3 linked regions of the Drosophila melanogaster genome follow. The protein of the gene in region 3 interacts with the protein of the main gene of each other region in a pairwise test. Each region holds a gene or a part of one and is shown on either strand. Other genes may lie near its edges.

Region 1 (3,706 bases), about 18 Mb from region 3:
CTTGATTTTCGGGGCTCGACTGGGACTTCCACTGGGATATGAAGTTGCAGAGGTTCCAGGGACAGCGACGGACAAATGGACATACGGACAAGCGGACATACGGACATTGCATGCGACCTGCGACTGCTGAAAGCAGATCAGCCCAACACTTAACTTAATTTGGCAGCTACAGTCCGGCGCGCCGTGCCGTGTAATTATCGTCCGCTGCGTATTTGTTTTGGCCAACCCGATTAAGAGGGGCCCTAATTTTGTCGAACTGTCTACAAATTGATCGCGAAGCGCCAAATCGATCACCTTCCCCCATATAATAAAGTCCAATTCACTGTGTGAGAATTGATGCCCCGCCGATAAGTGTGGATATCGAGGATTGGGGAAACAGAATTGTTCAGAGATGAAAGGATTTGGATGGCTTGGAATTTTTGTATTTATCATTTTGCATCTAGGAATTGTTGCATAGCTACTAAAACTGTTAGAAAGTCCCCGTTAACAAAAAACGAACATATGTTTTAAATTATTAATGGTGCTTTTATTTTGTCTTCCTTAGTCTTAATCATTGTCTTCCATTTAGGCTAATTAACTAAACAATAAACAGCATAATACTTAAGCGGTAATTCACTACTGGGCTCCAGGCAATATATACAAAGTAGCTACAACATTTGGCAAGCTCCAACAATAACTGAGAATAGTACTTGGGACTGGGATCGGGATCCGGGAATTCAGCGCAGCAGATCCCCGAGAGCGGATATGTAGGTCTGGGCCATTTGGAGGGTCTCGTGTTTGGACAGCTGGCGATCGTTTCCCAGACAGGGAAGGTACTGGCGGAGACGATCGAAGGCCTGGTTGAGGTTCTGCATCCGACGACGCTCACGTGCATTGGCGGCCAGGCGACGCTTCCTCTTCACGACGGGTGTGATCTGCTTGCCACGCCTCTTCTTTCCAGAGCCTCCGGCAGCGGCATCTTGGTTCTCACCATCGGCCAAGTCAAAGGATCCATCATTGCCATCGAAGTCCTCACCGCCACTGAAGAGCATGAGGTCCTCGTCATCCTCGACGCTGTCATCGAACAAGGCGGAGTTGTCAAAGTCAAAGTTCTGGAACTCCTCCGTGTAGAGATTCACTGAGGCAGATGACTCCGCAGCTGCAGTCGGTGTGGAGGTGGCGGTGGTGCTTGGCTGGTTCTTCTTGGTATAGCTACGCTTCGGTTTCGGACCTGCTGAGGCTGGAATCGTTTTGCAAGTGCCCACGTTGGAGGAGCCCATGACCTCCACTGCCGGAGGAGAGGCCACTGGAATTGCAGGCGCTGTGGAAACAACAGACTGCTCCATAATCATTCCGTATTGTTGGTTCTGGGCCATGTTGTTGCAGCCTCCATTGTACATGGTATTGAGATCCACATACTCGGGACTCTCAGATCGGTGGCTAGCCGGCGAGGAGGAGATCCAGCCATCGGAACTGGCCTGCTCGAAGCTGATGAAGCCATTGGCCGACAAGTAGTTGCTGCTGCTGGCCAGGGTGTTGCCATTGAACTGGTAGTGGGTCACGCCGGGATTGTAGGCTGCCATGGGATTGAAGTACGGCTCGGCGGCGGCTGTCTTGAAGCCCTGCAAGTCCTCGGAGGTCTTGTAGTAGTAGCGATAGATCTCACTGGACGACATGTTGCTGCTGCTGTATGGTGGTGTTATGTTGCTGGATGAAACGATACGAACGCTGCGAGTGCTGGCGGGTTTCTGACTGGTCTCTCGTCCTTTCGGCCCTATTTATACTCACAAATCCACCACGACGGTCAGAAGGGCCTGAAAGGCAGGTAGGGGGGCAGGTAAACGAGTTGCCACAGAAGGCAGCACGTGCCGCCCGAGTGGCACGACCAATGGCAGTTGGTGGTGAGTTGCAGCGGTCTCAGAGAGCCCGGTTATACCTCAGTTCGTTGCGAGCTTAAAATGGCGCTAGAAAACCGACTATCTGGGCATCTAAAGCCGCTAACAAGATGATTATAGGATGGCCGGCACAACCGGAACAGGAATATGGGCGGAAATGTAAACAGAACTTGGACAAACAATCGATTTGAATCCCTAAACGGGATTAAAGTCGACCGCAAAGCGAAGCGAAATTTGCAAAAATCCCTTGGCGATTTGTCAGCACCAAATGGCAGAGCGGGTCTTATGAGTTTATCTAATCTGCATCGGTTGCAAGTGGGTTCGATCTACCTGATCACGGCTAGGGAAATCCTTACAAATCCACCGCCGCCGGGTCATTCGACATGCTTACCCAAAGTCGGGGGCGGAATATCGCAATGAAAAATCTTGTTTATTACAACTTGGCAAATTTTCCAATTGATACGCTTGTTGCCGGTACCATGAAGAAGGTAGATGATAGCGCCGGCCCTTCAAGGACACGCTTGACCGAGTGCCAGGACTGACCTTCACCTTAGCCCTCGTCGTGCCTAATAAGCGTGGCAGGCAGTAACTAAGAGCTGGGTTAACATTTTAGCGCCTTGCAATTAATACGGCCGTGTGTTCGATCGTGAGCAGGGAATTTAGTTGTAGATCCCAGGATGACACAGCAAAACGAAGCGTCCACGGTGGTCCTTAGATCCCTTCGCTACGCCCCTTAATCCTTAATGATTCGCTGGAAATCATAATGCAACGAATTCTACATCAACCACTTGCGGGGGAGTGTTCGGGCATCTTTGAAGTTCCGCGGCCACCCAGTCGCACAACTAGTAGCACGCCCCAAAGGATCTGATCTTTTTGCCGGGCAATAAAAACGCTGTCAATTAGATAAAAATGTCACACAACAAACCGCACCAAGAGCGGCACCACCAATTTATTGGACGCACACAGGCATGTTTGACCTTTTGTCCACCCCTGAGAGACCTCGAATGTCCTGAACGTCCCTCGTGAATGTCCTTCCATGCAATTTACGAGCCACTTGCCGCAACAGACAGTAGTTACACCTGCAATATGTACCTGTGCAGATCGTATCCCTCGGATTGCATCTCCGCTGTAAAGTTTTTCGCTTATCGGCATTAGCCGATGTCAAGGCATCCGCTGCATATCGATTGGGAAATTTACATTTTCATTGCCGCATCGCAATATGCACGTGCTGCCAGTCGAGGGGGCAAAAAGGGTCATTCCAAGTCAAGTCGAGTTCTTTTTTCGCCAATGGTCGGCATCGGGCGCCTTGCGTGCCTGTCAGTTATCGAGTGGCTGATCCCTCACATCGGACCCACATACCTTATGAGTACCAGTACCTCCAATACCTCAGCTCCAGCTCATTGGCATCAATACGCTGGTAACGGGCCACTTCTTTCATGTCAATATGCATAAATGCAACTTGGCCATCGATGGGAATGCAACTGATGTGGAGCAGCTTCCAGAAAGCGCATGACAAAGCCAATTGAATGGGTATGAATCTGCTTGGGTGAAACATGAAACACTCTTGTAGTCATATCCAAATCATATTCTTATATTATCCTAGAAAAACCAACCTGTATATTCTTGAGTGTAATATAATATGGTGAATGTTATAATTGTATATTGGGTTTTTTACTAAACTCTCAAATCATGTATTAGTTACTTAGGCCATTAAACTATTGACGCAGTAACTAAATTAATTTAGTTATTTTCTACATTTTGTTAAGTAACCAAATTGCTGACTAGCCGGCCTAATTCAGTATACTCTTTCCAGGACTCTCTTCGGCATGAGG
Region 2 (5,950 bases), on a different chromosome or scaffold from region 3:
TGGCCGGCTTACCGATGATATTCTCAAATCCGCCACGGCGAAGCTCAAGTGGCGCCAGTTCGCCGAGAAGTTTAACAAGTTGGACGATTACTCGTATGGCACCCTGATGCGCGCCGATGCCAGCAGGGAATTCTCCCCGGACAACTCTATCTTCGTGTTTCGCGTCCAGTTTCTGGCCATCGAGATTGCCCGGAATCGGGAGGGACTCAACGATGAGGCTTACGAGAAGCACAAGCCCGCCAGAAAGGTACCCGAAGAGGAACAGTAATCCCTCGCTCTAGCTTAGATTAAGTTGTAAAGACTGGATGCATATTTAGCTGCAGTTCGTCTATCTACTTTAGTAAACAATCAAATTATTTTTATACAAAAAATAAAAATATAACGACCGCCTTTAAATTGTTCCCTACACGTTGCCATTTCTTGACTTTGTATTCTGCTTTCTGCCAATCTGTGGGATGAGATCCACATCTTTAATAAAAATTAGATTAACATTTGATCAAAGTTGTGTTGTAATAATCTAATGTATACATCTCAAAGTTCTGATGCAAACATTCTGTTTAAAAACATATTCGCTTTTATTGGGAAATCGATTCCATTTTATCTGTGAACAACAATAAACCCATGGTTTTATGTTAGAATATTGTATCCTAAACTATATATTGTATATATTAAATATATAATTAATGGGATTTGCCTAGTTGCTACATGTATTGCCCGCACTTGGTCCATCTTCAGTCTTGCTTTTGGGCAGTCTAGCGAATCTGCTTGCGCCCTGTTCTTCTCAATTCCGCCTACAGTCCACTGGTGTTGCTGGTCATCAGTATGAACGGAATAAGAGCATCCATCTGCATCTGCCCCACCAAGTTGGCGAAGAACAGCTCCTCCATGGCCTCTGCGTCCAGGCTGCTGAGCGGAAGAAGGCGAGCCACCAGAACATTAAAGCGCTCCTCGCCGCCGCCGATGCCACCCTGCCTTCTCAAACTTGACAGAGCGTAGAGTTGGACTCTGCGGACGTAGCCTCGCAACGACCGCTCCTTGCGCTGCTGCAAGAGCGTTGGATTGAAGAGCAAGATCAGACGCAGCAAGCCAAACTCCATATCAGTAACATCCAGTGACTGGAGCTCCTGGACAAAGTCGTGCAGGGTCCTGGTGAGATTTGCCATCTTCGAGATCTTCAACGGTTCGATCTTATCGATATCCGCTAGCTGGCGAGTGCTTTGAATAAACTGCCCGATAATGGTGGGCACCGAAAGCTGACCCTGACACTGCGCCAAAGCTATAGCCATTAATGCTGGCCACACTCCTCTCAGGAGTTTCACCTGTGTATGGGCTTCCAATTGTTCGAAAACTGGAACCTTTCGAAGGGTATGGATGGTGAGAAAAATGATTCGCGAGCCCGTCTCACACACATAATGAATATTTAAATACGAGTGGACCAAAGTCGGCGGTTGCACATGAAAGGCACACTGCACATCGGTGAGAAGATCCTGTTCAAAGACCGCCTCATTGATAGCAAAATCGCTTCCACCGCTTCGGTTCCCACCGCACTCAAAGTCTAGTTCCATGTGCTCCAGCTCCGCGTCTACGGCATCCTCGGTGCCACTGTCCTCCGCCTCTGAATCGCACTCGGGCTTCACACTCAGATTACCATTTCGCTCCAGTTGGTTTTGGATGGGCTGCAGGATCTGCAGTCCCTTGTGGATGACCCGCATGTCCAGCGAACTCTGAATAAGCCCCATTGTCGAGGTGGTAGGCAGAGCGGTGGGTACTTCCCCAGCATTAAAGTTCAGGTGCTGCGAGTTGTTGTTGCTGGCGCTGTTGGCGAGCAACTGCAAGCACAGCGTGCTGCTGTTGTCCATTGAGTCGTCCTCGTCATCCTCGGGATCTGCCTTCGGAATATCTGGCGAATAGCTACCACTCTGTTGATGCTGTTGCTGTTGTTGCTGCTGCTGTTGGGTAGCGAACACTGCAAAGTCAATAGGAGATTATTAATGGTGAATTCGTTTAAAAGAAGTTAAATATGGATCAATCATGGCAGTTAAGTATATATGACCAACCAGAATGTAAATCAAAGTTCAACTTACTCAATGTCTGCGTTAGTTCTGCGAAATTCAAACCCATCGGGAATATATTCTCATTCAAATTGAAGGCCGTTGCTGGCGCGCTGTGCACTGGAGGCGTGGCCGCGGATTCGGCCTTTACACTGTGCCCCTTGCCACGCCCCTGCTGATAGCCGGACTTGCCGGATAGGTAGGTGGACGAGCCATTACCGCCGCCAGAAGTGGATGAGCTACCGGCAGCAGCGATGATCCCCTCCTTCCTGTCCACAATCGGTTTCCTCTCGTGCTGCACAGCTGTGAACAAAAGTTGATGAGAACGGAAGGCAATTAATTAGAGCGAGAAGTGAGGTGAGGATGCGGTTTGATGATTTTCAAAGCGAGGTGATGGTGAGTAAGTGGGTGAATTGGTTAATGTTCGTGCAGGCTGGGAATCTTTTGTGCCTCCGCCGCTGCAGTTTTAAGATGTGCAAGTTACTGAAGTGGATATTCACGTTACAGAAGCAAACACTGGGATGCAATTAGATTCACGTGATTACTTGGTGTAAAATGCACTTCACAGACGAAAATTGAATTGAATTCAATTGAAATTGAACTTTCTCTAGATTAGACTATTTATCTTTGAGTCCAATTCGAATTGGAGATCATCCAACCAGTTCTTGATTAAGCTCTGGGAAACTGAGTTCCTGTGAATCGATAACGTTTCATTACTTGTCAGAGTTAAATGCTACATATATGATATCTCCTAATTTCTACAATGCAATTCTGCTAAAGCCTGCTGGAGCACGTAGACTCTGGCCAGGCCAGAGATTGGTTATAGCTTGAGACGACGACTTAAACGAAAATTACAATCACTTCGCATGCCGCTGGCCAGGCACTTCTGTAGTCGACAGAACTGGCACCGATTCCTGTGGTGCTTGGTGACCTCGCAGTTCATAGCCCCGCGACACTGGTAGCCCAGCTGCTTCCGGATCGAGCGCTTGAAGAATCCCTTGCAGCCTTCGCAGCTTATGGCTCCGTAGTGCCGCCCGGAGGCGCGGTCCCCGCACACCAAACACAGCTCCACGCTCAACGTTGCGGATGCTCCGGCTCCCATTCCCACGCCGCCTCCTGGCAGAGGAGTGCCGCCTGAGGCACTGCCTCCTCCGATCAAGGGCATCGCTCGGTTTTCTGCAAGGTCAGAGGGCAATGGCAACAGTCGCGTTAGAATGGGCTCCAAGGTGGCATGGCTCGGGTGATTGGACTCACCTTCGCTTTTGATGAACGTCTCAACCTTAACGCCGTCCATTGTCGCCACAGCAGGCGGCTAAAAAATAGTCGTCGGCTGTATAAATAACTGAAACCCAAACATCTTCACATATGTAATTTAAATTTTACTTGCAATATAAAGTAGAGAAGAGATAAATATGGAGTGTGTCTAGAATAAAGGAATTACGAGCCGAAAAGAGAGGTATGAGGTGGTTAATTCTATCACAAAATATATTTATATAGTAGATAATAATAATAATAATAATAAATGTATTATAATATATTATATTGATGTTTTCAAAAAATAAATCATTGAATTTTACGCAATATAAAACACCGTTGCTGCTGCCAACAAAAGTGCTACTATTTTGGACGCAGCTGTAGCTAACGTAGCCAGAGCTATTTTAATAGAACCTGTTTTGGCTGCATCTGTGTGGGTGCCTGTGATGTGAATGAATTGGTCTTGCTTACTTGGCTCTTTGAAAATTCTTATTGGACGTCTGTTATCACCATTCTTGAGCTTTTAAAAACATCTATTTTTCGAGGCACTTGGTTAAAGTTATGTTACTTCCGGTCAGTTACGATATTTTCAGGCACTTTGTGCCTATTTTGAACCTTTTCTAACGCAATAAAATCTCCTTGTTCCAATTCACTTGCGAGCAGTGTGACCGCAGTTGGGCTCTTTCAACATACCATCCGGTCCCATATACTAAAAAAAGGCAGCTCATTGTGCAAATATACCAAAACACCTGTAGAGCTACAGTTCGTTGAAATTGTAATTTTTAACGTAAAACAAAGGATAATAATAGAATTACTAATATCAATAATAACAAAGGCGTGTCTAGGGTACAAATTAGAGTCAAGCTTAATCAATTAACACAAATTTTAATTCTCATAAGCCCACAAGGACATAATATTAAATTTTATACTTTGAGTTACCTTGGCTATTTGATTAAATTGATAAGCCTATCCCAAGTTTTTACTTAACTTTTGTACTCAAAACTAGGCGCTCTGCCGTATTAGCGCTCTGGTATTGATCCAAAGAGAAACATCTGTTGATGCCTTCCATGTGGATATAGTTAAAAAGAAGGGGCTTTTGTTTACAAAAATACAATTTAATATACAAGTGAAATTGTTACAAAAAAGCTATAACGAAAAGAGCCCTAAGAATGGAACTAGTATATTTGATTGTGTTCTCCTTTCTCGCGTATTTTTTGGTCTTACAAACGACTAAGCCACAAATTGCTCACACAAATATCGAAAGGCAGACAGGGTTGAGTGAAAGTATACTTCTGGGTTTCGGAATGGGGTCATGGATGGGCCGAAATGGAAATCAGCAAGCTCACAAACATGCACACTCCGCCTACACAGTGCCACTACAGTCTAATATTTCAATTATTTATTCTTTAAGCCCATTGCCCGTTTGGTGGCCCGTCCCAGGAAGATGCCGGTGAGGAAGACCAGGCCCGTGGCGCTCATTAGTATCACAAGGAAGAATTTCCGCGCCGGAGAGGCGACGACTTGTTGCACTAGCTGCTGCACATCCTCGGGCGGAAGCGCCAACGTGTCGTCTGCGTTCCTGAACATCTCTATGCGTCGCTGCAGCTTTTCTCGGCAGTCCGCCTCTAACGAGTTCGGCGTATCCTTCAGCAGCGTCCTTAAGCAATTAAGTTCTAGAACATAGAGAGAAAAACATTAATTATTATATTTATAACCACACCAACCACACACACACACACACACACACACACACACACACACACACACACACACACACACACACACACACACACACACACACACACACACACACACACACACACACACACACACACACACACACCCCCCTGCACCAAAAAGGAATGTTCAAGAAATTTCATAATTTGCTGCCTATCACGTAACTTCCCGTTGTTTATTTACACTATGTACTGTTCTTATTCTCTTAGTCAATCTGCCTCCAATTATATCGATCTGCTTCAAATACATAAGCTGTTTGATAGGTGCTTTCACTAAGAGTTTCCAGTGTAGGAAGAGGAATTCTACTATCTGCCCCCCCTGGCTGATGGCCTGGCCAAAGACCCTAGAATAACAAGATGCGTAACGCCATACGATTTTTTGGCACACGATTTTTTGGCCGTGGCTCTAGAGGTGGCTCCAGGCTCTCTCGAATTTTTGTTAGAGAGCGAGAGAGCGAAGAGCGCTACAGCGAACCGCTCTTTTCTACGCATACAGTGATAGCAGACAACTTTATGTGTGCACACGTATGCTCATGCATTGTAAATTTGACAAAATATGCCCTTCACCTTAGAAGTTCTTTGGCTTTAAATCTATATTATTTTTGATCAATTGGCACCATGCGAAAAATTCTTGTTTTGCATTGCCTTAACGTTATTATTATTTGAAAATAGATTAGAAATAGTCAAATCTATGTACATATTATCACAAAAATAAATTTCAAAAATGACTTTATATAAGAATATTTGTCATTAGAGTATTCATCTTGCGGCGTGTGAAAAATTAATAAGGCAATGATTGTTGAGTCAAAGACCCTAGAATAACAAGATGCGTAACGCCATACGATTTTTTGGCACACGATTTTTTGGCCGTGGCTCTAGAGGTGGCTCCAGGCTCTCTCGAATTTTTGT
Region 3 (2,856 bases):
TAAAATTTATTCTTTTACAATTAATCAATTAAATTACATCACATATTGAGGGTTGCAATAGCATTACGTAAAATCATAGGTAAGTGTATTCAATTCCAAATTCATACCACATTATTAACCTCTGACACCCAAAATACTATAAGAAGTGAGAGTATCCCTCCCCATTACAATAATCAATGACGTTGTTTTCCACCCATAAAATGTCAATATTAAGAACCCTCAAGATTTGTAAGGGAGATATACAAATCCATCTCAATTATTAAGTGAGGAAGTAGCATACCCTAGGCGGTTGCAAGGGAGGGACACAAATCCCATAGGTAGGCATCGATGTCAGAGGTCGATTAGTTTCCTAATAGAAACAGAGTTTATAAAAGTTAACTCGAAAGTGAAATTTACTCAATGGAATTCTAATACACCATACTTGCATGCGAAACCCAAGATTCCGAAACCAAAAGCACTTAATATTAGCTAATTAAAAATGGGTTTAGAAAGATACGCCAGACATTATAAGTTCCTATTAACTAAATTCAAAGAAAACTTTTGTATCCTATGATTACTTTAACAATCTTATTAGGATGAGCCACACATTGAACAAACCACATTTACCATAAGACAAGATATTTGAAAAGTGCACATCAATTAACCGGTGAAAAATTACTAATTACCAATTAGGGGGTTGCAGGAAGTTAACTATGTGCATCCCATAGGTAGACATTCCGGCACAAGGCCCACCTCACCTCAGCCTGGGCATTGAGTACTCAACCTCGGCCACGAGTGTGGCACGCGGGGCACACTTTCTGCGCCCGTTTGACCCACGTCCCCCTGCCAACCACCCAAAAACCCGAGATCAGACAGCCCAAACGATGGAACGATCGAACAACCAAGGCGACCCGGCACGAAGCCAATATGCCACATCCACTAATTGTGTCCAATAAACACTCGTCGACGGGGCACTGTGGGAACGGAAAGAGGAGATCTCAGAGTTCGCAGTTCGGAGGTCGGAGCAGGAGTAGGGGCTTATACAATCATCGTCTGCTGGCATTGATGAAACAATAAGCGAGTAGATGGCACGGCAGGATAACAATGCCAGAGCGGCCCACGCACAAGCAGTTCGGATCCCCTGCCCCTGCTCATCATGCTTCGATCCCATGTACCCATATATGAACGTTCCCATTCCAAACACGACAGGATGAGGCAGTGAAGTATGCATTAAGGATAATAACACCGGCCCAGAAAGCAATGCGAGCAGCCAAAAACAGCGACAGCTGCAAAAATGTGCCCTGATCCTTATACTCGAAAAAAAATGAGAAGCGGAGCGGAGCGAAGCATGTGGCCAAAAGGGAAAACAAACGAGAAAAAATTGTGTGAGAAACTTACTTTCAGCTCGGTTCCCACGCCACGAGCCACAAGGATTGTCCTCCGTCCTACGAAGTTGCAGCTGTTCCTTGTGAAAAAGACAACAACACCGGCGTTTAGCCGTGCGAGCGAAAGAGAGGGCAGGAAAGGTGCGTATCAGAGGGTGGATTTCAGGGACCAGGGAGCGGTATAAAAGGACGGGACCTCGCAGAGCAGAATATCACTCACGATTACGCCGTCGAGCAGGCAGCAACAAGCCGAATACAAAATTTTTCAAAAATTTTTAAAACTACGTAACCTACTACCAAAACAAAAATGGAATACACCACCAAGACCCAGATCTACCAGAAGGTGAAGAAGCCAATGCTGGAGCGCCAGCGACGTGCCCGCATGAACAAGTGCCTGGACAACCTGAAAACACTTGTCGCCGAGCTACGAGGTGATGATGGCATCCTGCGCATGGACAAGGCCGAGATGCTCGAGTCAGCGGTGATCTTCATGCGCCAGCAAAAGACACCAAAGAAGGTGGCTCAGGAAGAACAATCCCTCCCCCTGGACAGCTTTAAGAATGGCTACATGAATGCCGTCAACGAGGTGTCACGTGTCATGGCCTCCACACCTGGCATGAGCGTCGACCTGGGCAAATCGGTGATGACTCACCTGGGACGCGTCTACAAGAACTTGCAGCAATTCCACGAAGCACAGTCCGCCGCCGACTTCATCCAGAACTCGATGGACTGCTCCTCAATGGACAAGGCTCCGCTCAGCCCCGCCTCCTCCGGATATCACAGCGACTGCGACAGCCCCGCCCCCTCGCCACAGCCCATGCAGCAGCCCTTGTGGCGCCCCTGGTAAAAACAAGGGGTTAAGTGGCAGGAAGGTAAGGGTGGAGTGGCAATGGGAATGGAAGAACCAACCAACAACGCATCTGTGATAGCCCAACTGTGATGGCAACAAAATAGCAAAATTAAAAAAGCAATTAGCAAAACAAATATAAACCAATTTAAACAAATATCAAAACAATTTACTTTATTGGGATGTTGGGAGGGGATCTAAGGGACCAATCCCTTAGTTGGTGGCAATTGGAATCCTTATTGGTAATTAAATTATTACCAATTAGGAAATATCAAATAATATATCTCTGCTCTGACAATGGAAATCTATTTTGGCAATGACCGAAGTGAAATCTATTTTATAATAATAAATATTTATTTATAAATATAAATAAATTATATTTATTTATTTATATCTATTTAATAATAAATTAAATATATTTCACTTAATTAAAATAAAAGTGTTTTAGAAAACTAGCACTGATAATTTTAAGTTTTTTGAATCGGTAATGTCCTTAACGGTTCACAAGATTGAAAATAGCAAATCAGACTGAATAATAATAAACTGAATAATTATTTATTCATTTTTAAAAAGCGCGCCAACTGCACCTGAAGAACATGTACAGATCTAAGTTACGTATTTATTGCGGAACTTTTTTCACTTTTT

What was found.
Region 1: the proteins of E(spl)m8-HLH (region 3) and ato interact in a two-hybrid assay, tested with the Drosophila melanogaster proteins (one study listed by BioGRID).
Region 2: the proteins of E(spl)m8-HLH (region 3) and Hr78 interact in binary tests that used the Drosophila melanogaster proteins (3 or more experiments, as listed by UniProt).

The regions. Positions count from the first base shown.
Region 1 is NT_033777.3:8,276,075-8,279,780, reverse strand, and holds ato (atonal), read right to left. Parts: upstream 1,730-3,706; 5' UTR 1,656-1,729; coding exon 717-1,655; 3' UTR 507-716; downstream 1-506. UniProt on the Drosophila melanogaster protein: Developmental protein involved in neurogenesis. Required for the formation of chordotonal organs and photoreceptors. Seems to bind to E boxes. Specifically required for the photoreceptor R8 selection.
Region 2 is NT_037436.4:21,493,515-21,499,464, forward strand, and holds Hr78 (Hormone-receptor-like in 78), read right to left. Parts: upstream 3,981-5,950; 5' UTR 3,777-3,980; intron 3,670-3,776; exon of another isoform or gene 3,629-3,669; intron 3,508-3,628; exon of another isoform or gene 3,394-3,507; 5' UTR 3,346-3,393; coding exon 3,306-3,345; exon of another isoform or gene 3,228-3,305; coding exon 2,907-3,227; exon of another isoform or gene 2,879-2,906; intron 2,355-2,878; coding exon 2,085-2,354; intron 1,967-2,084; coding exon 792-1,966; 3' UTR 505-791; downstream 1-504. Other genes in the region: CG7519 (uncharacterized protein), read left to right, coding at 1-268; Glg1 (golgi complex-localized glycoprotein 1), read right to left, coding at 4,701-4,978.
Region 3 is NT_033777.3:26,038,653-26,041,508, forward strand, and holds E(spl)m8-HLH (enhancer of split m8, helix-loop-helix), read left to right. Parts: upstream 1-1,587; 5' UTR 1,588-1,671; coding exon 1,672-2,211; 3' UTR 2,212-2,356; downstream 2,357-2,856. UniProt on the Drosophila melanogaster protein: Participates in the control of cell fate choice by uncommitted neuroectodermal cells in the embryo. Transcriptional repressor. Binds DNA on N-box motifs: 5'-CACNAG-3'. Part of the Notch signaling pathway.